Linked DNA regions of Oryctolagus cuniculus. The protein of the gene in region 6 interacts with the protein of the main gene of each other region in a biochemical or structural test. Links are inferred from orthologs where the notes say so. Each region holds a gene or a part of one and is shown on either strand. Other genes may lie near its edges. The genes, in order: E2F2, UBTF, CDK6, CDK9, MYOD1, RB1 and CDK14.

Evidence for each region.
Region 1: the proteins of RB1 (region 6) and E2F2 form a complex in vitro, tested with the Homo sapiens proteins (2 studies listed by BioGRID and IntAct, with this or other methods). The link is inferred for Oryctolagus cuniculus from reciprocal best matches to the Homo sapiens genes RB1 and E2F2.
Region 2: the proteins of RB1 (region 6) and UBTF form a complex in vitro, tested with the Homo sapiens proteins (2 studies listed by BioGRID). The link is inferred for Oryctolagus cuniculus from reciprocal best matches to the Homo sapiens genes RB1 and UBTF.
Region 3: of the proteins of RB1 (region 6) and CDK6, one has a biochemical effect on the other in vitro, tested with the Homo sapiens proteins (9 studies listed by BioGRID and IntAct). The link is inferred for Oryctolagus cuniculus from reciprocal best matches to the Homo sapiens genes RB1 and CDK6.
Region 4: of the proteins of RB1 (region 6) and CDK9, one has a biochemical effect on the other in vitro, tested with the Homo sapiens proteins (4 studies listed by BioGRID, with this or other methods). The link is inferred for Oryctolagus cuniculus from reciprocal best matches to the Homo sapiens genes RB1 and CDK9.
Region 5: the proteins of RB1 (region 6) and MYOD1 form a complex in vitro, tested with the Homo sapiens proteins (2 studies listed by BioGRID). The link is inferred for Oryctolagus cuniculus from reciprocal best matches to the Homo sapiens genes RB1 and MYOD1.
Region 7: of the proteins of RB1 (region 6) and CDK14, one has a biochemical effect on the other in vitro, tested with the Homo sapiens proteins (2 studies listed by BioGRID). The link is inferred for Oryctolagus cuniculus from reciprocal best matches to the Homo sapiens genes RB1 and CDK14.

The regions. Positions count from the first base shown.
Region 1 is NC_091438.1:147,416,303-147,420,093, reverse strand, and holds part of E2F2 (transcription factor E2F2), read right to left. Parts: coding exon 3,600-3,791; intron 2,416-3,599; coding exon 2,257-2,415; intron 304-2,256; coding exon 189-303; intron 1-188. UniProt on the Homo sapiens protein: Transcription activator that binds DNA cooperatively with DP proteins through the E2 recognition site, 5'-TTTC[CG]CGC-3' found in the promoter region of a number of genes whose products are involved in cell cycle regulation or in DNA replication.
Region 2 is NC_091448.1:19,038,690-19,042,986, reverse strand, and holds the start of UBTF (nucleolar transcription factor 1), read right to left. Parts: upstream 3,029-4,297; 5' UTR 2,784-3,028; intron 2,220-2,783; exon of another isoform or gene 2,090-2,219; intron 1,771-2,089; exon of another isoform or gene 1,632-1,770; intron 569-1,631; coding exon of another isoform or gene 1-568. Other genes in the region: basic salivary proline-rich protein 2-like, read left to right, coding at 1-568. UniProt on the Homo sapiens protein: Recognizes the ribosomal RNA gene promoter and activates transcription mediated by RNA polymerase I (Pol I) through cooperative interactions with the transcription factor SL1/TIF-IB complex.
Region 3 is NC_091447.1:42,947,915-42,952,219, reverse strand, and holds the start of CDK6 (cyclin-dependent kinase 6), read right to left. Parts: upstream 2,941-4,305; coding exon 2,708-2,940; intron 662-2,707; exon of another isoform or gene 302-661; intron 1-301. UniProt on the Homo sapiens protein: Serine/threonine-protein kinase involved in the control of the cell cycle and differentiation; promotes G1/S transition. Phosphorylates pRB/RB1 and NPM1.
Region 4 is NC_091432.1:231,221,818-231,224,616, reverse strand, and holds the end of CDK9 (cyclin-dependent kinase 9), read right to left. Parts: intron 2,309-2,799; coding exon 2,137-2,308; intron 2,004-2,136; coding exon 1,855-2,003; intron 1,321-1,854; coding exon 955-1,320; 3' UTR 515-954; downstream 1-514. UniProt on the Homo sapiens protein: Protein kinase involved in the regulation of transcription.
Region 5 is NC_091432.1:48,597,234-48,601,278, forward strand, and holds MYOD1 (myoblast determination protein 1), read right to left. Parts: upstream 2,801-4,045; 5' UTR 2,515-2,800; coding exon 1,888-2,514; intron 1,415-1,887; coding exon 1,336-1,414; intron 1,075-1,335; coding exon 824-1,074; 3' UTR 227-823; downstream 1-226. UniProt on the Homo sapiens protein: Acts as a transcriptional activator that promotes transcription of muscle-specific target genes and plays a role in muscle differentiation. Together with MYF5 and MYOG, co-occupies muscle-specific gene promoter core region during myogenesis.
Region 6 is NC_091440.1:67,472,708-67,476,498, forward strand, and holds part of RB1 (retinoblastoma-associated protein), read left to right. Parts: intron 1-151; coding exon 152-265; intron 266-355; coding exon 356-519; intron 520-2,424; coding exon 2,425-2,455; intron 2,456-3,791. UniProt on the Homo sapiens protein: Tumor suppressor that is a key regulator of the G1/S transition of the cell cycle. The hypophosphorylated form binds transcription regulators of the E2F family, preventing transcription of E2F-responsive genes.
Region 7 is NC_091447.1:44,623,511-44,627,301, reverse strand, and holds part of CDK14 (cyclin-dependent kinase 14), read left to right. Parts: intron 1-3,223; coding exon 3,224-3,344; intron 3,345-3,791. UniProt on the Homo sapiens protein: Serine/threonine-protein kinase involved in the control of the eukaryotic cell cycle, whose activity is controlled by an associated cyclin.

The DNA.
Region 1 (3,791 bases), on a different chromosome or scaffold from region 6:
AGACGTTCTCAGGCCAGTGCCCGGTCCGCGCCATCCTTTCCAGCCTTCGCTGTTTCTGGCCAGCTTGGACATCACCATTATTGCCACGGACAGCGGCACGGACATCCCAGGGAAGCTTGGCACGGGCAGTGCCAGGGCAGCGCGCACAGAGCGGCCCAGGACCCTGCCCCAGGGGCTCCTGCTCTCACCTCGGTCTTGTCAGGCACTTCCAGTCTCGTCTGCGGCGGCGCCTTCACGGCAATCACCGTCTGCTCCTTGAAGTTGCCGACAGCACGGATGTCCTGGTACGTCACGTAGGCCAGCGTAGGGGCAGAGTCAAGAAAAGTGAGCGCTGGGCAAAGTGCAGACCCCAGATGCCAGGCGGGGCCCAAGCCTCTGACTCCCGCTTTCTCACACTGCTTAGAAATAACTCAGAACTGTAACCTCTTCTTTGAATGTCATAAGCTCCTTTGGATACTTTTAGACAGCCCAAGGAGGTGTGCATCATTTTCAAATGCTGCCCATGGGTCCAGTGCTGTGGCGTAGTGGGCTAAGCCTCCGCCTGCGGTGCCAGCAACACGTATGGGCACCGGATTGAGTCTCGGCTGCTCCACTTCCCATCCGGCTCTCTGCTAATGTGTCTAGGAAAGCACTGGAAGATGGCCCAAGTGCTTGGGCCTCTGCACCTGCGTGGGAGACCCGGAAGTAGCTCCTGGCTTTGGATCATCCCAGCTCCGGCCATGGTGGCCATTTGGGGAGTAAACCAGCAGATGGAAAATCTTTCTCTCTGTCTCTCCCTCTGTCTGTAATTCTACCTCTTAAATAAATTAATTAAAAATCTTTAAAATATGCTGCCTTATATCAATTTTTTATGTAAAGGCTTCCTCTCAAAAAGATCTTAGCTCTGAGAAGACAGGAAGATTTGCTTCTTTATATTTCTCACAATGCCTAACATCCTTCCAAAAATACCAGGCTAGATCCAAAAGCCAATTAGATGTGAAACCATTTGGGAAAATGCACAAACCATGCTCTCTGACCTCATTGCTTGCATCCCAGGAATCTGATTTAGGGAAATAAGTGACAATAAGGGGGCAATGTCCAACACACAAAGATATTCACCTCTATGAAAGCAGAAACCTAGACTTGTTCCACATACTCATTCTATAAGACAATCTGAAGTCAGTTTATAGACAGGTGAAAAAGAGATTGAGTCATGTGAAGTTGCTTTCTCACGGGTACGTCGTGATTGCATACTGGCATTTTCCTGTGGATATGTAATGGCAAATACAAACGTCTACAGTATTAATTGGAGAAGAACAGAACAAAAAATGCAATGTGCAGCAGGGTCCCCGAGCCTCGTAAGGAAGCGATGATGTGTTAGGCTGGCAGCCCACGGCTTCTTTTTTGTTCTATATTTTGCAGATTTAAAGAAATATACTTGGGGCTGGTGCTGTGGGGTAGCAAGTAAAGCTGCTGCCTGCAGTGCCAGCATCCCATATGGGCACCAGTTCGAGTCCCAGCTGCTCTACTTCTGATCCGGCTCTCTGCTATGGCCTGGGAAAGCAGTAGAAGACGGCCCAGGTCCTTGGAATTCTTCACTTGCATGGGAGACCCGGAAGAAGCTCCTGGCTTCAGATCGGTGCAGCTCCACCTGTTGCAGCCATCTGAGGAGTGAACCAGTAGATGGAAGACCAACCTCTCTCTCTCTGTCTCTCTCTACTTCTGCCTCTCTGTAACTGTGCTTTTCAAATAAATAAAAATAACCTTAAAAAAAAAGAAAGAAAAAGAGAAGTGTGCTTGTCTCAGGGCCACCACTGTGGTGTAGCAGGTAAAGCTGCTGCCTGCAGTGCCAGCATCCATAACAGGTACTGGTTCAAGTCCCAGCTGCTCCACTTCCAATCCAGCTCCCTGCTAATGCACCTGGGAAAGCAGCAGAAGATGGCTCATGTCCTTGGGCTCCTGCACCCACATGGGAGACCCAGAAGAAGCTCCGGCCATTGTGGTCATTTGGGGAGTGAACCAGGGGATGGAAGACCTCTCTCTCTCTCTCTCTCTCTCTCTCCCTCTCTCCCTCTCTCTCTCTCTGTAACTCTGTCTTTTAAAAATTTAATAAATCTTTAAAAAATGTATTTGTCCCATTTTGAATCATGAAAAGGTAACTCTAACAGGCTTGAGAGGAAAAACCACGGAGAAAGAGACAGATGGCCAGAGCCCTGGGAGGCGGTGGGACAGAAGCACACGCAGGCCCTGCGCCGGCCCCTCCACAGCACAGGATATCTCTGGTTGGCCTTGTCCTCGGTCAGGTCCTTTAAGCTCAGAGAGCAGCCCTGGATGAGCTGGTCCAAGGCCTGCTCCGTGCTCGTCAGCTCCTTCAGCTCCTGCCTCAGCTGCTGCTGCGTCCCGGGCCGGGTGGGGTCTTCAAACATTCCCCTGCCTCTGGGAACAGAGCAGCCCCCCACCGCCAGTGTCAGTGTCAATCCACACCCAGAGTCCCACCCCCAACCCCAGGGCTGCAGAGAAGGTAGGGGTGAAGCTCCAGGTCAAGGCCAGGTCAAGGTGCATGATGGTGGCCCCGGGGTGTGTACATCACATGGTCACCATCACTCTCAGGGATTGGAACTGGAAGTCGAGGCCCGAACCCCGCTTCTGGGGGGCTCTCCACTCGGTCCATCCCTAATGCCCAGCCTCCCCCAAAGGGCAGGGGACCACAGTGACCCCAGTCCTGAGTCCCTTGCCTGGGTTCTCTCAGGATCCACGCCAGGGACTGTAGGTCTGCTCTTTCAGACCCTGCAGGAGTGGGAAGAGGAGGCCCTGGTCCTCACGTCTCAGAGATGGAGGCTGGGTTAGGCCTTCTCAGCTTCCCGGGACTTCCCTGAGCTAGGAGATGGGGACCTGGGGAGTCCTCACCCAAGAGGAAGGAGCTGGGGTCCTTTTAGGCCTTTGCTTTTCCTGGAGATCATCTCCATCCTGCTTCCCACCTCCTGTTACTCCAGGGAGTGCACCTGCCCTTCCACCCAGCTCTCCAGCAGTGGCTCTGCCCCCAGCCCTGGCCCTGACCCTCACACCCCGGCACCCACATCCCAGGCACTCACACCCTGGCCCTGGCCCTGACCTCACACCCCGGCCCCCACATCCCAGGCACTCACACCCCGGCCCTGGCCCTGGCCCTGACCCTCACACCCCGGCACCCACACCCCGGCCCTGGCCCTGACCCTCACACCCCGGCACTCACACCCTGGCCCTAGCCTTGACCTCACACCCTGGCCCCCACATCCCAGGCACTCACACCCCGGCCCTGGCCCTGACCCTCATACCCCGGCACCCACACTCCGGCCCTGGCCCTGACCCTCATACCCCGGCACCCACACCCCGGCCCTGGCCCTGGCCCTGACCCTCACACCCCGGCACCCACACCCCGGCCCTGGCCCTGACCCTCACACCCCGGCACCCACACCCCGGCCCCCACATCCCAGGCACTCACACCCCGGCCCTGGCCCTGACCTCACAGCCAGGGGCTCTCTCCGCCCCGGCCCCGCCCACCGCTGAGCCCCCACAGCCTGGCGGGCACTGGCACCCCAGCCCCGCCCACCACCGGCCCCATGGCCCGCGCGGGCACTCACACCCACTGGACGTGGTTCTTGGCCTTCTTGCGGATGAGCTGGATGCCCTCGAGCACGTTGGTGATGTCGTAGATGCGCCGCTTCTGCACGGCCAGCACCTCCGCCGCCCAGTTCAGGTCCAGGACCCCATCGGCCGACTCACTCAGCAGGTAAATGAACTTCTTGGTGAGCAGCCCCAGCGACGTGTCGTAT
Region 2 (4,297 bases), on a different chromosome or scaffold from region 6:
CGAGCCTGCGGCCCAGCCCCGCCGGCGCCCCCGCCCCGGCCTCCGGGGAGCCGAGCCAAGGAGAGGGCGGGAGGACGGCGGCCGGGAGGCGGGGGCGCAGCGCTCACCGGCCCCGCCGCCCCCTCCGGCGGCCGGCGAGAACTGCGCCTGCCGGCTGGGAGAAGCGCGGGCTCCTCCGCCCGAGGCCGGGGCTCGGCTCGGGCCTCGCTTCCTGCCTTCCCCTCCCCCGGCGTCCTCCCCAGTGCCCCGGTCTGCTCGCGTCCAGACCCTGCTCGGAGGCCGCCCCGGGTCTGCGCCGGGGTGTCCGCCGCTCCCGCGGGTCTCTCCCTGGCCGCCCCGGCCCCGACCCCCAGCGCGCGCCCTCAGCCGCCTCGGTTACCCGGCGCAGCGCGACCTCCGGGCTTCCCGCTCCGGCGGCTCCCTCCCCGGCTCTGAGCGGCGGCGCCCTCCCCCGCTCGGCCGGGCACAGCCGCAGCTCCCTCCCGCGGCGGCAGCGGCTCCTCCTCCGGGCGCGGTGGCGGCGCTGGGGCGGCGGCTGCTGCTGCTGCTGTGGCGGCGGCGGCTGTAGCTGCTGCCTGCTGCTCCTCGCGGCGAAAAGCACAAAGCACAGCGCCCTCCGCCTGCAGGCAGCCCGCCCGCCGCCCGCCCGCCGGCCCCGGCCTCAGCTCGCACACCCCCCGCCGCCGCCGCAGCCTCCGCCGCCGGAGCGGGGAGGAGGAGGGAGAAGGGAGGAGGAGGAGCGGGAGGGGGGGCGGGAGAAGCGGGGCAGCGAGCGCGTCCTTCCCCGTAGAGCGCACACCGACCCCCGGGGAGCGAGCGCCAGCCCGCCCGCCTCGCCGGCTCCGCTCCCTCCCACAGCCTGCCCGGGCGGGCTCCGCGGGGGGCAGCTGGGAGGAGGGGCGGGAGCTGGGGGGACCCGGGCGGCCGAGGCGGAGGGAAGGAAGGAGGGGAGGGGGGTGGTGGTAGTGGTGGTGGTGGTGGCGGTGGCGGCGGCGGCGGCTGCTGCTGCTGCTGCCGCCGGGGAGGGGGGGGGGCCGGGGCAGGGAGACACGCAGCCGCCCGGATGGCGGCGGGGCTCGGAGCCGAGGCGGGCGGGCGGGCGGGCGCCGAGAGCGACCTCGCCAGACCCGCGGGGGAACTAGCAGGCTCGGCCGGCGCGGGAGGGAGGGCCGAGGCGCGGCCGCGGAGAGGGTGCCCGGAGGGCCCCCCGGCGGCCGAAGAGGCTCGGGGGTGCCCGCAGTGCAGCCCCGGACCTCTCCTCCACGGCCTCCCAGCCCAGATCCGGCCTTCCAAGCCGGCCCTCTCCCGCCTCCCGGCGCGGGCGGTTCGCGCCCACCTTCCCCAGAGCGTGGCTACTCGCTCGGGGTGCCGATCGCGGTGCCAAGCTTCGGCGCCTACTTCGCCGCCGAACGGCACACGCGAAACTCGAAAAGCAAAATATCCTTGCCAAGGGGGAAAAAGAAATTCCCTTCGCTCCTTACACCCAGGAAGCGGCGAGGAGCCACGGTGGGAGCCGGTTCAATCCAGCCCGGCATGGCTCCCCAGGCCTGCCTGGGCGCATGGAGATCGGCGGCGCGGCCGCTCGGAGCAACCCCTCTCCCCCGAAATCCGTGGCGCCGGGGCTCACTTACCGAGCGTGTGGATGGGAGCGCGGGCCGGGGACACCTGGGGGCGCGGCGGGCCGGAGAGCCGAGCCGCAGCTCCGCCGCAGCCGACTCCGGGGCAGCGAGTCGCCAGACAAAGCCCGAGATGGCGAAGCGGAGCGACGGCTAATGGCGAGCCCCACGCGCCGCGCTCCGCCCGCCCCGCTCCGCCCGCCCGCCTCGGCGCAGCGCAGCGCCGCTCCGAGCGCTCGCCCGTCAGAGCCGCCTCGGCGCCGCCGCCTCCCGGGCCACCGCGGCCTCGCCTGGCCCCTCCGCCTCCTCCGGGTGGCTCAGCCTCACCCCTTCCCTCCCACCGCTCTCGGGGCTGCGCGAAAATTGGGGGGAAAAAAAGGAAAAAAATTTTTTTCCTCTTTTTTTTTTTTTTTTTTTTTTGCAGGGCGGGAGTGCGGAGACTTTGGGTCTTTTTGCCCCCAGCTCGCACTCACCTGCGGAGCCGCCGGGAGGGCCGGGGGTGGGGGCGCGCGGGGCTGGAGCCGGCGAGCGCGGGTTGAAAGCCAGCCAAGCTCTGCAGCGCCCGACCCGGGCGTGTACGCCGCCGCCAGTCCCCGCAGAGAAATCGTCCTCCTACCCCCGCCTCCATCGCTCTGCGTTTCTCTTCCAATCAGCCGGTCGCTTGGCGGCTCCTCCATTCTCCGGCCAAGCCCGCTGCCTAGAGCGAGCTCCACTCCTCCATCTGCTCGCCCGGCTCCTCGCTCCCCTGCCGGGGCCGGCGAGGCGCCGTGGGGCGGAGGGGGTTTTGCGAGGGAACCTGCCCGCTCCCCGCTCCCAAGGCTCCGGCCCCGCCGCCGCCCGCCTCCTGCTTCTCTCCTGCGCCTTTCCAACTCTCCCCTGTCGCCACTGGCGTGTGTCTGAGTGTGTGCGCGGTTTTTCTTTTTCTTTTTTCTTTCCTTTTTTTTTTTTTTTTTTTATTGCTCTTTGCTTTTGCAACCCTGAAGCCAAAGCGAGGGGGAAGTAAAGGGGGGGGGGTGTTATAAAAAAAAAAAAAGAAAGAAAAGACAGAAAGAAGCTCTTAGATGAGCCATCTCGGAAGACCGGAGCGGCAGCGCTCCTCGCCCGACCTCCGAGCCCCGCGGGGCCGTCCCGGGTTTGGAGCGAGCCTCCTTCCCAGCGCCCCCCCACCTTCGCCGGGCTGAGGATACGTGGAGTCCGAGCAAAAAGTTCTCCCCTCGGGTCGTCGTGAGGGGTGGCAGGGTGGGAGCTGGGAGGTTTCCAAAGCAGCAGCAGCCGTCTCTCCTACCCGGCTTCGGAAGTGGGCCGGGGTGGGAAGCGAGAGCCAGGTCCCGGCGGGCTTACGCGGAGAGGCTTCCGGGGGCCCAGTCGGTACCGGAGGCCGCGCCGCGCGCATCTCCCCCTCGCTCGCCGCCGCCTGTCCCCTGCCAGCTCCCCCTTTAATTTTTTTTTTCCTCCTCTCCCTTAATCTAATTTCTTCCAACTCCACCTTTGTTGTTACCGGCGTCACGCCCGGACCAGCCAATCCCCGCCACGCAATCAGCTTGTCAAAAAGGCTCGACCAGCCCGGGGAAAGCAGGCCGCGGGCGCTGCCCCCCGGCGGCGGTGGGGAGCCGCGAGGGGCGCCCGGCACCCGGGCCGCGCGGGCCGCGCAGAGCGTCCGGCCTCGGCCTCCGCTGCCGGCGCCGGGGTTGTCCGACTTTGCCTTCTTAGCTCCGGGGAAGTGTTCTCAGGGCAGGACGCAGGGAGCCCGCGGACAGCCGAGGGCGCTGGCTTGCGGCAGGCCGGCCCACGGCTTGGCCCTTCGTCCGGGACAGCGCCATGACGCCTGGCTCCCACCCCGGCCCCGCCGCTGCCCGCGTCTTGTTCCGCTGCGTCCCCGGGCCCCTGTGGGCTCTTGGCTGGCGCGCAGCCTCCCTCCCTCCTCGCACGGGCTCTCCGCCGCGGTAATTCCTCCTGCCTCCTGGGAGAGATGAGATTCCTTTCCCAAGACTCCTGCCACGGTTCTCGCCTCGGGAGGAGGGCGCCGCCGGGATCTGGTGTGTCTGGGTTTTTAGCGGGCAGGACATGAGGAAGATGCAGACTGACCATCATGCGAATGAAGTTGAAGCTTTAAGGCCTGTGCAAGACCTTGGACTTGACTTTGCATCCCGTAGTTGGTTCTTTTTTATTTTTTTGGTTAAAGAGCACTCCGACCTCCACAGTTCACCTGCAGGCCCTCACACTTGATCTGCCTTTGATTCACTCTGGGGACATTTTATGCAGGATCAAGCCATCTCAGGCTGCACCGAAATCGGGGCATGGAACCAGTTGCTATTTCTGACAAAGGCTTTGGGATCAAAAGTCCTAACTTTTTTTTTTAATAGTGTGAGTGTTTGGGCAAGTTTTAACCCCACCTGATCCTAGTTTCCGTATCTGTGGAATGACAACAGCAGCCTCACCAGGCATCCGAGGGTCAATGGGAGAAACCTAGACCCCCAAGAAGGTTCCAGATCTGCCACACGCAGGTCTGGAGTCCAGGTGTCTTGGCTCCTGGCCCTGAACTTCTTGGCTGGGTCAAGGGGCTTTTCGGTAAAGTGCTTCGGAATAAAGCAGGATGAACGTGAATCATAAGAATGCTTGTTATTGATTCCTTGGGCAGCAGAACTGCTGGCGCCCTTCCCATTTGGAGAGCGACTGGCTTG
Region 3 (4,305 bases), on a different chromosome or scaffold from region 6:
TCAGTGCCAGCAGCAACAAGTCAGCGCTCCTGGCAAGTCCATCAAAATTAAATCTTAAACTTTTGGAAAAAAAAAAACTAATATGTTTATTATGCTCCTTCAAGCTTAGAGGCTTAACTATCTGCGGGGAGGGCCTGTAATTACGATCAATTACTTATGACTTGGAGGCACTTATAATGGCATCTGCCCTTTTAAGAAACATTTAAAGAACCAAGCATCAGCCTGTAAAGCTGATCCTGGGGGCAGCAACAAATCACAGGCTTGGGGTCAAACTGACAACTCTCTCTCTCCCTCTCCGCAGAGAAGAACTGCCGTCACCTGTCCTTGATTTCCTGACTCTGCCTGAACAGAGTAGCCACCTCTGAAATCCGTTACTGCTCAGTGTGCTCAGTGTGGCGATCATGGGAGCCAGTGGTCGTCCCAAGGCAGCGGTGGAAGAAGAAACAGGAAGGAAATGAAACAGGAAGAGAGATCTGTAGCTCGTGAGGGTGACATCATCAATAATTTCCTCAAGTGTCACTGAGCTTCATGGCATATGACTGACAGCCTTTGTGGACAAACTACAGGCTCACTGTACTCAAGTAGCCCCTGTGGCTCCGAAGCCTGTAATCTAAGGGTATGAATATGATTTGTTCTTGGAAAAAAAAATAAAAAGGCCAGGTGCACTGATGCCTGCTGGGAACCTGTTCTGGGCAAGCGCGTCCCACTAATCTTCAGGAACACAATGTGTAGACACCTGAAGTGCTTCTAGATGCACAAAGTGTTTTCACACATGGCGTCTCACTTGACCCTCACCAACTACCAACTCCAAGGGGTGGGTGGCACCGCACCGCTCAACAGGCAAAGACAGTCTTAGAAAAAGGTGTCTTCTGATTCGTTAAGTAAATCCTCCTGACATTTGCAGTGCAGAATCTCAGTTGTGGCTCAGTGAGAGATCTCTGAAGACACACCAGCCTCAGCAGGTTTCACCCCGCGGGTGGGACGGAGGGGCCCCAGCGCGGCAGCACGGGGCGCGAGCTCTCCTCCGTCAGGAGAGCGAGTCCTGCCTCGTTAACAACAGTGGTAGTACCACCAGCGTGCCTCTGTAACACCCCCATGCTGGAAGGTCAGATGTGGCAGCTGCCTGGGATGGGACAAAACCAGAAATCTTGGTCTCAAAATTCTACTGGTGAAGTCACCCTTTGGAAGGGCTTAGGCGACACCCTAGGGAAAGTACTAAGTTAGAGGGAGCTAACTGTCCCCTCTACGCCCACTCTGATACCAACAAACACACCCTCCAGGGGTATTTTGTTTTTTTGTTTGTTTGTTTGTTTAGTTTTTTCAAAAACACGGAGAAAAGGTAACCTGTCGCTTTAATATGTAAGCCCACCTCCCAAAACACTCTCCCAGTCTCTTTATCTTCGACCTCCACCCTTGACAAGCTGATGGAGAGGTATAATGGAGTCCTATCTTTACAGTCATTTACTACCTTATTTATGTATTTATGATTCTCTGCTGCCTTCCAGCCTGAGTCTTCACTGTCTTGGGAACAAAACACTACACCAATCACCCAGCCTAGGGTAAGAAGAGGCAGGTCAGAACCTCCCACGGAGACTGCAGGCACCCGGTCTCCCTGAGCCTGTCCAGGGTTTGGTATTTCAGGTCATTCTCGGGTCGCTCCGTTTTGATGAGTAATGTTAAACTGTTTGACTTTTCACAAAAATATTTAGCCATGCTTATTTACATCACTTCATCCGCAGCGCACGCAGCAGGCACGTAAGTGTTGAGCACAATGCCTCGCGGAAGGAGGGTCTGGGACCTCCTTCTCCCAACGCGTGAGGAGTCCACAACCCGCTCTGCCTCCGTGCATGCCTTTGTGACCTGAAGCCATGCAGCTCCTCTGTTTAAAAACAAGATGACACAAACGCACACACAGTCAACTGCGCAAAGGGGCGATTCCAGGATCACCAAGAACCCACCATTCCCCTAAGTCTCACTCACACACACACACACAGTTTCATTTAATATCTTTAATACCGGTCACAGCACAGCAGAGACTTCAGGGACTGACTGCGTACCCCACTCCTGCCAGTCACCCAGGAAAAGCAAGGACAAAGAGCACTGAGAATCTAAAGCCACCACACCTTGGACACCCATCCCTTGGCAGCGGTGGTCCAGGGGCTATGCCAGCCCAGAGAGAAGTGGCACGGACAAGAAGGATGACAGCTCTGGGACGATGCTGTCTGCCACTGGGCGACTCCCCGGATCATCAGTAAGCCATTCTCATTGTGCAACTTTAATACAGAGAAACTGGGTGTGATTAGCAAACATATTCTTATCCGTTTCTGCATTTTTAAAGACCTCATTTGTGCAAGGCTCCACCCTAGAAGTTTTCTCCTCGCTTATCACACGGACAACCTGCTCCCTCTCCTTTGCAGTCGCAAGAAAGAAAGAGAGAGAGAGAGAGAGAGAGAGAGAGAGAGAGAGAAAGAGAAAGAAAGAAAGAAAGAAAGAAAGAAAGAAAGAAAGAAAGAAAGAAAGAAAGAAAGAAAGAAAGATCCCCCGAAGCCGGGAAACGCAAGCAGCAGTGGTCTCAGGTCTGTTGGTTCTGCCCCCAAGGCCTCCCCCGCAAGGCCCTCGGGGCGGTCGGGGAGAAAACACCGGCGGCACGGCGCCGGCGAAGCCCGCACCTCCCCGGGCCCCCGACGGCGCGGACCCCAGGGCTCACCTGACCACGTTGGGGTGCTCGAAGGTCTCCAGGTGCCTCAGCACCGCCACCTCGCGGATGGTGGAGAGCGGCATGCCTTCCTCGCCCGTCTGCACCCGCACGCGCTTCAGCGCTACGAACCGGCCTCCGTTCTTGAGGTCGCGGGCCTTGAACACCTTCCCGTAGGCGCCCTCCCCGATCTCCGCCACGCACTCGTACTGCTGGTCGGCGCGGCTCAGGCCGTCCTTCTCCATGCCGCCTGCACGCCGCGGCTCCCCGGAGCTCGGTCCCGCTCTCCTCGGCCCCGCCGGCTCCGGCGCGGGCTGGCGCAACCCTGGTGCCGCCGCGGCGAAACTCCGCCTGCCGAGCCGCCGGGGAGCGAGCCGAGCCCTCCTCTTCCCTCCCCGAAGCGAAGTCCTCCGCACCGACACCGAGGCGATCACATAGTCTCCACCCGAGCGCGTCTCGGTCCGGGGTCTTTGCGACTGAAACGGGGGACAGGAGAGAGGACGACAAGTCAGACCGCCCGGGAGCCTTCCTCGGGGTTCCTGCAGCCTCCCCTCCTCCACGGCGCCCCCACGCGCGCCCGGCCCTCTCCCGCGCCGCCCAAGCCTGCCTGGCTCCTCCCGAGCAAAGCGAGGTCACTTTCTCTCCCCGCAGGGCTGCAGCCGTCTGCGCGCGGCGAGGCTGCAGGGGCCCCTCGGGGATGAGCGCGCCGCGCGGGACGCAGGGCAACGGGAGGGGGCGTGCCGAGCGGCCCGGAGTGTGCCGGGAGCGCGGGGGAGGGGAGGCGCCGGGCGCGTCAATGTCACGGCTCCGCGCGGATCCCTCGCGCGCCGCGCCGCCCGGGGGCCTGGACGCGGGTGGGGGCTCCCGGGACCCCGGAGCCCGCGGCCGGGCAGGGTGCGAGAAGGGGTCGTCACGCATCTGCTCGGAAATTGCTTCCTTTCTTTTTCTACTTTCAGTTTTTCTAAGGGGGAGACCTTTAAAGACGCGGCGCACACGTACGTGGTCTCGCCGGGGGCCGAGGCGCCTCGGCCGGGAACGCAATCCTGCCTCCGACTCCGAGGGACCTCCCTGGTGGAAACCCCGGGAGAATCAGCCATCTGGTCGGGGCGGGCTGGGCTGCGCCGGGGTGGGCGAGCCGGAGGCCCTGGAAGGGGCAGCCCCACGTGGGATGCCGAGGGTGGGGGCGAGGGGCGTCCGCCTCCGGGACTCAGCGCGGGGAGGAAGACACCAGGACCGCCGACTCGCCCCGAAGTTTCCAGCCCAGGTCAACCTGAGCCGAACGCTACCTCCCCAGAGGGTGGTGGGGGCGGGGGGCGTCGACGCTGCGCCTCCCGGGCCGAGGGGGAAGGGGCTGCGCCCCCCGGAGCCTGCCCTCGCCACCCTTTCCCCAACCCGCGAGGCCGTCCGCGGCGCCGTGGCCCCCCGGCTCCCGGGAGCCCGGGTCCCGCGTGCAGCCGGGGGCCGGAGCCCTCCGCACAACAAAGCCCCGGAGGGGGTGCCCTCACTTTCCCGTCTCCTCTCAGCCGCCCTCCGCCGCCGAAGGAGCCTCCCTCCCCCGCGGCCGCCGCGGCCTCGGCCGGACCTTCGCCGCGCCGGCCGCGTGTCCGCAC
Region 4 (2,799 bases), on a different chromosome or scaffold from region 6:
TGGGCTCCCATGGGAGCCCTGGCTTCACTACAGTCCAGCTCCCTGTAACCGCGCCTGGGGACAGCGGCGGCAGCCCCGGTGCTGGGGCCCTGCACCCACAGGGAGGAGCACGGAGTTCTCCTGGCTTTCGCCTGGCCCAGCCCCAGCTGCTGAGGCCGTTTGGGGAGTGACCCAGCAGACAGACCTGCCTCCCCCCCCAATTCTCTCAAATAAACAAACACTTTGAAAGGTCTGAAGTGACGCCGTGCCCGAGTCAGGCTGCAGCGGACTGTGAGGGCAGCAGCTCAGGCCCGCCTGGGTCAACACTGCGCCGCGGCTCCCGGGAGCCCCCGCCTCCGAGAACTCGCGCACAGGACCAGCAGCCCCCCAGCACCCGCTTCTTGGAGAGCATCGCGCCACGTGTACTGAGAGGACGGGAAAGGCCCAGAGCCTCCTGCGGCTGTGTCCGGAACAGCACCAGGACCCCGGGACCCGACAGCTGGGGTCTGGGTGCAGAAAACATACAGCCACCAGGTGGAAAAAAAAAAAAGCCAACTTTTAATTGTAACTAACCAAACTGCACGCAGGAACGTCCCTCAACTCAACCACGCAACCCGATAAAACACTCCTGCTCCCGCCAGCCCCAGGGCTCCCGGGGGGCGCCGGAGCACACTGTCCCAAGGCCAGCCGCTCGTCCCGAGGCGGGGTGAGCGAGGGACCGTCCCCTCCTCCCATCATGCTGGGAGCCCCTCCTCCCAGCCTGTCCCCGCCTCAGGCACGGAGACCCCCGGGCACCGTCCAGAAAGCCAGGGCCGGGGCGGCCACCCCCTGCCCTCCTAGCCGGGCAGCCATGCTTCCCTCCAGTCCAGCCGGCTGGGCATCCCGGCGCCCCGGGCAGGGAATAAATAAAACGCGCACTAGAGAGCCGCGCCGGCCGCGGGCTCCGCAGCGCGAGTCACAGCGGGGGGCGCGGCCTCAGAAGACGCGCTCGAACTCCGTCTGGTTGGTGGTGGTGGGGTTGCGGCTCTGGTTGGTCGCCTGCTGGGTGATCTGGCTGCCCTTCCGGCGCGGGGGCGCCAGGTACTCGAACATGGACGTCAGGTGGGTGGACAGCATGCCCTTGAGGTCCGACGGCATGGGGTCGGACCAGAAGAAGTCGTGGTTGAGGGCGTCGTCGCTGTCGATGCGCTGGGCGGGGTCCAGCACCAGCAGCTTGTCGATGAGGTCCAGCGCGTAGGGGTCGCGCACGTACGCCTTGAGCCTGTCCTTGACCTTCCGCTTCTGGCCCTTCACCAGGTCCAGCTTCTCGAACAGCTCATACTTGTCCACGTTCGGCCACACCTGCGAGGGGCGGGGAGGGAGGCCGTCGGGTGGGCGTGCGGCCTGGCCGCTGGTCAGCACCCAAAGGGATTCCAACAGCAGCTCCACACGGGTGCTCTGGGAGCGCCCCGGGATGGGGACCCGACCCCTTCACGTGGCATCAGAGGCATCGGCCACGAAACAGTTGGTGCCAGAGCCCATGCGGCTCCAAGAGGCAGGCCCCGCCCCTCTGCAGCCTCTCGACCCATCACTCCTCCAAGGCTCCTGTCCGTCAGTCCTCCCAGGCCCCCGTCCGCCAGTCCTCCCAGGCCCCCCGTCCGCCAGTCCTCCAGGCCCCCGTCCGTCATTCCTCCCAGGCCCCCGTCCGTCATTCCTCCCAGGCCCCCGTCCGCCAGTCCTCCCAGGCCCCCTGTCCGTCAGTCCTCCCAGGCCCCCTGTCCGCCAGTCCTCCCAGGCCCCCTGTCCGCCAGTCCTCCCAGGCCCCCTGGCCGTCACTCCTCCCAGGCCCCCGTCCGTCACTCCTCCCGGCGCCCGGCAGCTCGGCCACGCACGCACCTCAGGAGTGATGGAGCCGCAGAGCTGGCTGATGAGCGCGAGCTGGTGCTGCTCTGTGTTCCCCTGCATGATGGGGCTGCGGGTCCACATCTCCGCCATGATGCACCCGGCACCCCACAGGTCGATGGGGGGGCCGTAGTCCCGCTCCCCTGGGAACAAGAGCGCAGCAGGGGGCCCCTTGAGCCGTGGCCCCGGGAGGCTCGGAGCCCCGGGGCAGGTGGTTCAAGAAGCCCAGGCAGGTGCCTGGCCCCTGCCCAGCCTCAGCCTGCTCCAGGGCCTCACCCAGCAGCAGCTCCGGGGGCCGGTACCAGAGCGTCACCACGCGGTTGGTGTAGCGGTTGGGCTGGCTGTTCTTGGCCAGGCTGAAGGCCCGGGCCAGCCCGAAGTCGGCCAGCTTGAGGACCCCGTCCCGGGTGATGAGCACGTTGGCAGCCTTCATGTCCCTGTGCAGGATCTGCAGAGCAGAGCGCTCAGCGGGGGGGCCCCCCCGCGGCCCCCGCCCCGCCCACCTTGTTCCTGTGGATGTAGTAGAGGGCGTTCAGCGGCCCCCCCCGCGGCCCCGCCCCCGCCCACCTTGTTCCTGTGGGTGTAGTAGAGGGCGCTCAGCGGCCCCCCCGCGGCCCCGCCCCCTCCCGCCCCCGCCCCGCCCACCTTGTTCCTGTGGATGTAGTAGAGCCCGTTCAGCGGCCCCCCCCGCGGCCCCGCCCCGCCCCCGCCCCGCCCACCTTGTTCCTGTGGATGTAGTAGAGGGCGCTCAGCGGCCCCGCCCCGCCCCGGCCCCGCCCACCTTGTCCCTGTGGCTGTAGTAGAGGGCGCTCAGCGGCCCCGCCCCGCCCCCTCCCGCCCCCGCCCCGCCCACCTTGTTCCTGTGGATGTAGTAGAGGGCGCTCAGCGGCCCCCCCGGCCCCGCCCCCGGCCCCCCCGCGGCCCCGCCCCTCCCCCGCC
Region 5 (4,045 bases), on a different chromosome or scaffold from region 6:
TGATGTGCACGCTTCCATGAGAGCCACCGCCTTGCGTGTGATGCAGATCAAACTCAGAGAAACCCCAGTGTGTGTTCTGGAGGCATCCCCACTCCCTCGACCCTGAGCGGTCTTCCTCCTTGCAATCTGCCTGTCGCCTGTAGGGGTCGCTGCGAGACAGCTGGCCCAGCTCGCGGGTTTTCCTCCGGATCCCGCCCCCGAGCCCGGGGAAAGCCGGAGCCACCGCGGCATAAATTAGCGTCTTTATTTCGAACACCTGAGCGAGCGCCCGCGGCTCGCCCGCCTGCCGTATAAACATAGAAAGTCGCCGTTGCACCGCACACCATGCGTCAGAGATAAATACAGCCCTCGGGGCTCCTGCTCTGGCAAAGCAACTCTTATTTACAGGAATAGATTACAAAAAAGTATTATAAAAAGTGGTCCTGAACCGGAGGGCGGGGTTGGGGTGGGTTACCTGCGGGACTGGCGCGCATCCCGCAGGTGCGATGGGAGGAGCTTGAAAGGATGTAGCTACGGAGGTGGGGCGGGGCCGGGCTTGGGTCCGCGGCGATCCAGTTCCCCCTACTGGGGAGGCGTCGAGGAAGCGGAAGGATCAGCCCCGGCTTGCCGGCGATCGCCCAGCGGCCAGGGCAGGCGCGGCGTGGAAGACACCCACCGTGAGCTCGCCCTGGGGCCGGGGACCGGGTTCCCCCCGTCTCTGCCACCGCGGAGGAGGGGGCGGAGGGTCGCTTTAAGCTCAATCTTGGGGGCACGAAGGAACCCCAGGGGCTCCGTCCCTCGGGCGCGTAGGCAGCGGCGCCCTTGCACGAGGCAGCCCTCCCCTTCAGAGCACCTGGTAGATGGGGTTGGGGTTTGCGGTCGCAGGGCACCGCGGGGCGGTGTCCGGGGCCGGCGTGGGTGCTCCGCGCTCGCCCTCGCTCTCGGCGGCCGCCTCCTGCTGGCGAGGGGGCGACTCCGGTGGCGCGTCCGCCAGCAGGAGCGCGGGCGCAGCGGGGCTCTCCGTGGAGATGCGCTCCACGATGCTGGACAGGCAGTCAAGGCTGGACACGGCGGCACTCTTCCCGGGCCTGGGTTCTGCGCGGGGAGGGCAGGGGAGTGAGCAGGGGTGGAGCCGCGGCTACCTCCTCCACCCCTGAGCCCCCTTGTGCTTCGGAGGACTTGCGGGAGTCTGAAACCATCCAGCGAGGGTGCGGGACGACGGCAGGGCACGCGACCCGCCAGGGCTTCATCCCCCGCACCATTGCCAGGCTATGTGGGGCGGGGTTGGGGGGGTCCTAGGTGGAGGGAAGCCAGGGCGGCTGGGAGAGGGACATGGAGGAGGCGCGGGATACGCACCGCTGGGCGCCTGGCTGTAGTAGGCGCCGTCGTAGCAGTTCCGCCGCCGCGCGCCGCTCGGGGGGCCGCTGTAGTCCATCTGCAAAGGGTTGGGGGGACCGCGTCAGGCCCGCGGGACCGGAGCGCCACTCCCAGGAGCAACCCCCTCCCCAGCTCCCCGAGACTCAGCCGAGGGCTTCTGGTCCCGGATCTGTCCTGGGTGGACAGGAGCCGCGCACCGCAGAGTCCAGAGCCAAACGAGGCAGGACTCAGATCTGCATTTTGGAAACAGGGATCCATGGAGGAAAGGAGCAGATCCCTCAACAAGTTTTGTAACAGCGTCCCAGCCGTGCCGACTGTACCCGTCCTGCGTGCTTCCAAAGCCCTAGGCTACCTCAGCGACAGCCGCCGGAGCCACGCGAGTCCACTTCTGGGTCGGGCCCCTGTCCGCCCATGCCTGTCGCGAGGGCCAGCTCCCCGCCCTCGGGAAAGGCTCCAGACCCACCCACTCCTTCCCCCACCCCCACGCCCCAGGGCTGCCTCCCCTCCTTCCGCCTGGCGTCCAGGCCTTACCATGCCGTCGGAGCAGTTGGAACGCGGGCTAGACGCGTCCGAGTCGCCGCTGTAGTGCTCGCCGCCGCGGCCTGGGGGCAGTGGGCCGGGCGCGTAGAAGGCGGTGGCGCCAGGGCCCGCGGCGTCCTGGGCGCGCAGCAGAGCCTGCAGGCCCTCGATGTAGCGGATGGCGTTGCGCAGGATCTCCACCTTGGGCAGCCGCTGGTTGGGGTTGCTGGACGTGCAGCGCTTGAGCGTCTCGAAGGCCTCGTTCACTTTGCTCAGGCGGCGCCGCTCGCGCATGGTGGCGGCCTTGCGCCGGTCAGCGTTGGTGGTCTTGCGCTTGCACGCCTTGCAGGCCCACAGCAGGCAGCGGCCGGCCTGGTGGTGCCCGCTGGGCGCGCGCACATGCTCGTCCTCGCGCGCGCCCGGGGCCTGGTGCACGGCGGCGGGGAAATGCGTGTGCTCCTCGGGCTTCAGGAGCGCGCCCACGTGCACCAGGCGCGGATCCAGGTCCTCGAAGAAGCGCAGATCCGAGGAGTCGAAACACGGGTCGTCATAGAAGTCGTCCGCTGCGGCAAAGGAGCAGAGGGAGCCGTCGGGGCCCGTCAAGTCCACGTCTCGGAGCGGCGGCGACAGCAGCTCCATGTCCCAGCGCAGGGCGGCGCGGGCCCGGCCTCACCAACCCGGGCGGCAGGGGTTGCCCGGAACTTTCTGTCGCTGGGGAACCCCAGCCGTGCGATGGCAGAGTGCCGGGGGTCTGAGGGCACACCCGACTGTCCGCCACCCCGCCGCGTCCTGGCCAGCTGGACCTGCGGCGAGCAGAGCGGCGGCAGTGCCCTGGGGCTTCCCCGGCCCTAGCTTAGTGCCAGGCGCCCCGGGCTATTTATCCGTAGTAGCCTAAGCGCCCCGGGAGCCCAAGCCGGTTGAGGGGGCGGGGGCGGGGGAGCACGAGGCCAATAGGAACAGAGGAGGGCGGAGCTCTGGGTCCTCGGGGTGGCCGCCAGGGCGAGAGAGTGGCCCCCCTCCCGCCCGTGGACACCAGCGCGCGCGCGCGCACTCCGGTCCCTCCCGGAGCAGGGAGCGCGGCAGACTGGCAGCCTGACCCGCTGCGCTTGGCTCCTAGGCACACCCTTTCCAACACGCGACTCCTGTGTTCGCGGGAAACGCTGGCCCTGGGCGCTCACTTCCCTCCGGGCGGAGTTTGGCTCTTACTCGGTCCCGTATTTGTGCGGAAACCAGGAGCAGAGCCGGGGCAGAAATGAGATCAGGAGAGATTTGAGAGAGATGCAAAGTAATGGGGCAGAGACACAATTAGGGCTGAGGTGGTGCAAAGGCGAGACCCCACCACCACCACCAAAGAGGCCCAGAGACGGAGGGGCCAGGCAGAGACGCACCGGACGCGGGGGCAGAGCCACTCGGCCAGTCCCTGTCCCTGTCCTGAGAGTCACTCAGAGGGCTGCGCGGGCCCTGCTCGTCTTTCCTGAACGCTGAGAAACCCAGCTGCGTCTATTCGGGCGTGGATCTCGCTGCTGGAGCTTAATCTAGCCCCTCTCTCCGAACTCGGGTCGTGCGGGGTCTGCAGGCAGTGAGGTGGACTCACGCCCAGCCCACCCTCGCCCTTGACGCCGGGTGTCCCTGGGGCTAGGCTGAGAGCCTCCTGGGCTGGGAAGTGAACTCCCTTTGCGCAGGGCTTGCGTCTGCTCCAGACCCCCCGCAGACCCGGGAAATGCCTTTCGCAGAGATCCTCGAGGCGGGGACCTGGCCTGAGAACTCTTTGAGAATGGCATTTGCCCACCAGGGGGGACCCAAATCCCCAGTTTCCCAGCTGTGTGATTCTGTGGAAGCCACACCTCCTTCCCCAGCCTCAGTTGCCGTTTGCTTCAATATGGGGATAGGAGGACTTTCTTGGGGCAGTTGCTTAGTGCTGAGAAGCTGGAGAGATCAAGGATGCAGAAGTCCTCGGTCCGAGGTGCAGGGCCATGGTAGTCAGAGGGCCTGCTCTGTCCTGAGCACCAGCTGCAGCAGTGTGCCCAGTGGGCTCCCTAGCCCTCCCCTGGGGCACAAAGCCCCGGAAGGTGCCCAAGCAATCCCCAGGCTCGGCTCCTGCAGAAGCCTCAGCCGTGTTGCTCCCTTGCAGGCATCCTGGAGAGGCTGGAAGCAGAAGGAGCAGGCAGCC
Region 6 (3,791 bases):
CAGCTACACACTAAGAAGACTTTTTCAGGTTATTTTCTCCTATATAATAGATGTTTCTCACTAGGTAAAGAAAATTACAAAATACATAAAATTAAGCCTAAAGAGAGGAATTCCTAAGTTCATTCAGCAAGTGTCTGTTATTCTTCCTCAGACATTCAAACGTGTTTTGATAAGAGAAGAAGAATATGACTCCATTATAGTATTCTACAACTCGGTCTTCATGCAGAGGCTGAAAACAAATATTTTGCAGTATGCTTCCACCAGGGTATGTACAAAGTATTCTTTCATTGGGAAAATGTAATTGTAGTGAATGCCACTAACACATTAAATAATACGCTTTTTTGTTTTGCTCTAGCCCCCTACCTTGTCACCAATACCTCACATTCCTCGAAGCCCTTACAAATTTTCTAGTTCGCCCTTACGGATTCCTGGGGGGAATATCTATATATCACCCCTGAAGAGTCCATATAAAATTTCAGAAGGTTTGCCAACACCAACAAAAATGACTCCAAGATCAAGGTTTGTGTTTTCTCTTTAGGGATATGGAAAATAATGAGGGAGTATTTTGATCCAGGCATAAAACCATAAAGATTTCTTTGTTTTAAAAATAAACTAAACTCTTGAGTCTCAATTGCTTGTTTATATTGAGTGACATTATAAGAATTTGGAGGAAAAGAAAAATTTGCTTGTTTGCAAATTTACTCATCAGCTTTCCTGGCTATTGGGGTCTCTCATTTTGTAAACAGCTTGAGACCCGATTTGGTTATATGTTTCAAAGCACTTTCATATTTTTGTAAGTAGCCAATCTGCTGAACAAAGTAGGTTACATTAGTTTTAAAAATTTTTAGTCTGTAATTTATTGAATGCCCTGTAAACTCCTTTTATACCTTACTCATTTTGCTTATTATAAAATTGGGGACGACTTACTAAATGTAGATGACTGTCAATTAAGTATTTAGGATGCATCCCTAATTCTGCCTTGGCCTCCTTGTATTACTGTGGGCAGGTCTCTGTCTCTACTTCAGAAGGGTCTGTGGACCAGGGAAATGATGTGTAAAGCTTTTTTAAATTCTCAGATGAAAGGTTATGTGCAACTACAAATCATTATATTATCTTCCACATCCAAGCACAAGTACTCTCTGGCTTTGAAGTGCTTCAATTGACTAATTATATGTTATCATGGGCTAGTTGAAACTGACTTTATTTGTCTAAAGTGGGAGGCAGATTAACTAGTATAATTAATGTAGTCTCACCTTAAAAATTGTCAGCCCATATAGTTGGCACCTAATGGGCAAGAAAAACAAATAAGGATAAGGAGCTACATTAATTAGCCTTTCAGAAAATGCAAGTAATACATCTCCAGAAAATTTTAAACTCTACAGAAAACTATGAAGTAAAAAAAAAAATGGTAATATGCTCCAAATGCTCTTCTGTGCTCCATTCTTTAGTTACTTGGTATCCTTACAGTTAGATATCTACACAGTGATATTTTTAATGTATATGCTGTTAGGATGCCATGCCATGTTTATTTAAATAAATTTACACAGTTCCATGCCATCACATGAAGATGTACATGCAGGTGGTTTTTAAAATAATGATAATTAATCCATTTTATGGTAATAATAGAGGCTGTTTGCTGATCCTAGTGAAATCAATTCTCTGTTGGTATTCTTTACCAAAAAAAAAAAAAAGTCATATTGTGAAAAGCCTAACTGGTAAGTCATTAATCAGGCATTAAGAAAGGATCTGAGCACTATTTATCCAGCATATTTACATATTGTAGTTAATCAAGTATGTGTGTGTGTAACGATGACTATTTGTCAAGGAGTTAGAAGACAATAACATCTATGGGTCTTCTAGTTCCATGTTCATATTTTCAAAGCTATTGAGTTATGTGAGGCTAAATATGTTCTTCAGCTTTATTATAAGAATATAAATTGTATAGTTCAAACAAAGACACTAATAACTATCTCTGATTCTAGGGTATCTGATAAATAGCCTTTACTATATACAATATAAATACTAATTAGAATTCTGATAATTACTTAGTACTGTAAGTTTTGGCAGATATAACTTGAACTTTAAATGAGGAAATGTGAAAGAAATTTTATAACTTACCCATTGAGAACCAAATAAGGGTAAACTTTAAACCATCTTTTACCCTCTTTAAATGTGAGCTTTGGCAGAATATGTTCTTGTAGACTCTCAGTTCTCTCTGTAAAAACCTAAGAGGCCAGCTGAGTGTTTGATTAGACTAGCACTGTTAGAATAAGCCCCTAATGAATATAGTTTGTCAGAGGATCTAGAGTAAAGGAAGCCTTTGATTTAGAATTGCTGATAGTTCAGAATGATGTGTCTGTGTTCATCTCTGTGCAATACTGTATGGTTTCCATTATTAATTTGTATTTCATCTTCACTTGACAGAATCTTAGTATCAATTGGTGAATCTTTTGGGGTGAGTAATTTTCTGTCTATGAGACATAATGGCATATACCATAACCATAAGGAATAAAATATTTCTATAATTTGAACTGATAAATTCTGTTATTCTATTATTATTCTATTATTCAGATATTCATCTAGGCATTTTGCATGTGTATCTTCTAAGTATATAGTTTTACTTTTAAATAAGTAATAGATATAAATCATACTCATAATTGGTGAACTTCAAAATGGTGCTTAGGCATTCCTTCAAGATTATATAATACCTATACAGACATTCATGTGTATACATGAATGTATCTGTGAGATGGTTTAACAAATCATACTTCTGACACCAAATGTGAGGTTTTGTTCTCATGCCAATCCTCCAATTCTCTGGTCATAAAATATTGTCCTACATTTTTGTAAGGTTATTTATTTATTTGAAAGGGTTATAAAAAGAAGAGACTGAGCAGGAAAGAAATTGTCTTCCATCTGCTGGTTCACTCTCCAAATGGCTGCAACATCTAGGGCTGTGTCAGGCTGAAACCAGAAGCCTGGAATTCCATCTGGGTTTCATATCCTCTGCTGTTTACTGAGGCACATTAGCAGGGTGCTGGTTGGGAAGTGGAACAGCCAGGACTCCAACCAGTTCCCACATGGGGTGCCATGTCACAGGCAGCAACTGTACCTGCTGTGCCACATTGCCAATCCCATGGGTGTCCTACAATTCAATTCAATTCAATTCTGACAGTTCTTAATTAGAGTTAATATCAGTTTCCAGGTTCAAGAGCTTGATACCACAAGACTGTCCTCACTTCAGAAGTCAATCACAGGGGTCAGGCCCATCCAGCTTGGTTAAAATTGAGGTTTCCATAATACCTTTCTCACCTTTTGTGTTTGGTCATTTGCTAGAGTGGCTCACAAAACTCTGAAAAATACTTTACTTATCCTAAGTTATTATAAATGATAAAAAACCAATAGCCAGATGAAGAAAAATATGGGACTGGGTGCAGCAGGGTCCCTCACACAGGAGCTTCTGTCCCTGTGGAATTCACTGACTCCAATACTTTCTCAACCTTGTTGTTGAGGAATTTTTATGGGGTTTGATTATATAGGTATAATTGATAAACAGGGTCTCTAGCCCCTCACCCCTCCCTGAAGGTTATGGGTGTGTCACTGAAAGTGCCAAGTCAAGGCTTGGTGTTTCTGGTGACCAGCCCCCATCCTGCTGCTATCTAGGAGCCCAAAAAGCATTGAACAAAGATGGTCCTATCACCCTTATCATTCAGGAAGTTCCAAGAGTATTAGAGCCCTGTCCCAGGAACCCAGGACAAAGACTAAAAATCTTTCTGTGATAGCACATGTGT
Region 7 (3,791 bases), on a different chromosome or scaffold from region 6:
TGCCAATGATGTTATCTACAAGGTAACCACTGTACTGAAAGTCTTTGGTTAGAGGTTAGAAAGCTTCTTAACTCGTAGCAGGATTTTCCCACCTGCTTCAGGGTCTTTCATGAGGTAGAATGGCAGCATCTTAAAATGTTAGATGCACTGAGTTATGGAAGCCCTGTGAGATGCCTGTAGAACTTGGCCCCCGTCATGTGCACACCCTCAGCCAAAGCAGCAGTGTGCACATAACCTGTACACACAGGTTAGCATTTCACTTTGCGTTTTGACTTTTAATTCAAGCTAAACATTAATATAAGAAGTTTTGGTAATAACCCATGAACTTCATCTTTTATGAAAGGTGGTGTAGCTTTCTTCCTGTAGTGTAACCATAGCAACTGACAAGGAACAGAGAAAGCAAGCTTTCACACATGCTGGGCTAATTAATCCTGTCCTACGGTTTTCCTTCAGCTTGGGGGTGCAGTTTAATAAATTTTGCATGAGTGAGCATGTTTTGATGCATGAACTGTGTAAATACCTTGTGGTATCTTTACCAAAATTATTTGGGAAAAATGTAGCTCCATACGTACTTCACGGTATTCATTCATCTGTTCAGTCTTTTTTCTTTCTTCCTTCCCTTCTTTGTTTTGGCATTGTTTTAATACTTTGCTACTTTCCTGAACAGTATTGGGATTCATTTGTGTTATTAACCAAATATTTTTAAGATGAAGACCTTTTGTTCATCAATACACAGCACACTTTTCACATGAAACTATTTTAATTGATAAAGTGAAATGATGAGAGAATGTTTCTCAAGTGATGCAGAAGAATGCGTCTTGAAATTGTGGGGCCAGCACTGTGGCAGAGTAGGTTAAGCCTCCACCTGTGGCACCAGCATCTCCCATGTGGGCACCAGGATGAATCTAGCTCTCTGCTTATGGCCTGAAAAAGCAGTGGAAGATGGCCCAAGTGTCTGGGCCCCTGCACCCACATGGGAGACCTGAAAGAAACTCCAGGCTCCTGGCTTCAGCTCCGGCCATTGTGGCCATTTGGGGAGTGAACCAGCAAATGGAAGACCTCTCTCTCTCTCTCTCTCTCTCCTTCTCACTGTCTGTAACTGTAACTCTTAAATAAATCAATCTTTTGTTAAAAAACTATAACAACAGTCTTCATTCTTTGACACTTTACGTGCAAACTCTTATGAAACGGAGTCTTCACACTTTAAAAAGTTACATATTGAAAACCCATTTTCACTGTTGTTTTGTAAAGTTATGTGACTCATTTGAATAAAGTTGGGACGTTCTTTAATTTATATATGTGGGAAGGAGAGAACAATATAGCAAAAGAATTTTTCTGTTTATATTTTCCACAAGTATTAAACCAGTTGAACAAACTCATATTTAGCATTAACATAATTGAACTGAAATTATATACAATTATCTTGATTGCTAGTATTTTCCAGGTTATTTTCAAGGTCTTGGTTTCCCTTTACAAGTGAGAATATCACAGTTTTTTGAAACCAGCGTGGTCATCTGAGCTGTCATAGAAAGCCTGGGATGTTTGCATTCTCACGCCCCTCTGGCCTCACTTTCTGATAACAGGGCCTTGGGAAAACCAAGGGAATCCAGGCTGAATGTTTTTTTGCCTCCCATTTGACTTGACAACAGCACATGGAACAAGTCAGAACCTATTTTCAGGACTTGTATTTTGCTGTTTAGTCTATATGGAAGCTCAGTCATTTGAAGAGCAAAACGTTTTGATGAGATTACCTAAATTCTAGAGGCATTATGCTGTCTTGATGGTCCTGTCTGTTATTAGTTTTGCCTGAGTTGAAGTAAGACGAAACTGCAGAGAAAAAAAGTAAGGGATTATTATGGAAATGTGTTATCAAAATAGGTATTCCACTCGTGTGCTGAAAAAGTAGGGACCATAAAAGTGTATGCATGTGTGTGTTTGGATAATCTGCATGTGCAAATATCGAATACTCATAAATGTTAACCAGTCTATGGCATGACATTACATTTTATAAACTGGCTTTGTAGAATAAAATTGACTGTAACCATAACTAAATTAATAAGACAATTTTTTGTTCACTTTTATTAATTTTTGCATTTACATATAACACAATGGAATACCATAAAAGGAAAAAGTCATTTTCCTAAATACTACAATAAAAATTTAAATGAATATGTCATGGTAGGATCACTATAAAAATGTTTTATGTGCTTGGAATGTCACAATGGTAAATACTTTATATTTGTTTTAAAGAACAAAGCCAGATAGAGAGCTGTCACAAGGAGGTTTTTTTTCTTTTCAAAAATGACATGTGTTGGTTTTATATTTTGAAGAATTTTATTTTCATTACCTCAAACTTGGAAAATCCTTAGAAAATCTTACAAAAATATAAGAAAATTGTATAATCCTAAAGTTGAGAGGTAATCACTGAAGATGTTTAGATATATTTCCTGCCAGTCTTTTTCCTATGCATTAATTTATAGTAACAGAGATAAACTGCATCTATTTTTTTCATTTACTGTCTTACTGTGACCATGCTCTCAGTGTTAAGAAATTTTAAGAAGGCATTTTCCTTCATTGTGTGCAATCTCATCATCTGTGGGTACCACATTTATTTGACTGTTCCTTTGGAAGTGGGTGGTTTTCAATTGATCTTCCCCAGTCAGCATTTCATGGTGATGACCTGATAATGCTCAAATCACAGGCAGCTTTAGAACAGCCCTGTGAGGAAAGTGTCCTGCCATCTTCTTACAGATGAGAAAAATCAAGACCACTGAGAAGTCTTACAATTTGGAGACAGTTTTACTTCCTAAACCTTTCTTTTCTCAAAGTTCTTTGACCAGAGAAGCTTTTCGGATAATACTTACACATTCGTAACTCTCAGAACTAGAGCTCTATGAAGCATACTTTGGAAAACCTCAGGGATTTTAAGCCTCTGTTTTATATCTAATGGCTTATGAACTACTTGTTTACTTAACTGATATCTTATTAGATTTGTGAAACCAGAGTGCTATTATGAAATATAAATAATTTAATGGTTATTAGCATGTATTCAAAAGAGAAACCACCATATGCTCTCCCCAGATTTTCTATTAACTTCAACATTACATTCATGACTCTGAATTGCCATATCGTGTTTGACCTTTCAGAACTGTGAACATTCAGACTTAAAACCCTCGTTCCATTAGTGCCCATTAAACTTGTTTGTGTTTCATGTAACCTACAGGTCTTGCACGAGCAAAGTCCGTCCCCAGCCACACATACTCCAACGAAGTGGTTACCCTGTGGTACAGGCCTCCGGACGTGCTCCTGGGCTCCACAGAATATTCCACCTGCCTTGACATGTGGTGAGAAACGGAAGCTTCACTCTGCCTAGTCTGTCCACTGTGCTTGGTCTGGGTCAAGCCTAGACAAACCTCCTAACAGTCTGAATGAAGATTAATGGTGCGTGGGCAGGAGTGTTTGCCTGGGTGTCACAACACTGCTGCGTTTTTTGAAAACCTGATTGGGAATGCTCTCTAATCAGAGTCTCCTTTGCAGATGGTGTCTGGTAATGGTTCTTGATCGACAGGGGCAGAGACATTTTTCTAACTGTCAGTACTGAGTTTTCTCCCTAGGGGTCTTAGTTTGTGGCTTTATTTCGTAACAAGGTTATCTGTCTATACACACACACATATATATTTCAAATTTCAGCTGTGTTGGAAGAAACCGTGGGCATGCTTAAATTCACAACAAAGCTCAGATAAGTGGTCTGAAAATTTTGTTGAGACTTAAGCGCTATATCTCTGAAAACT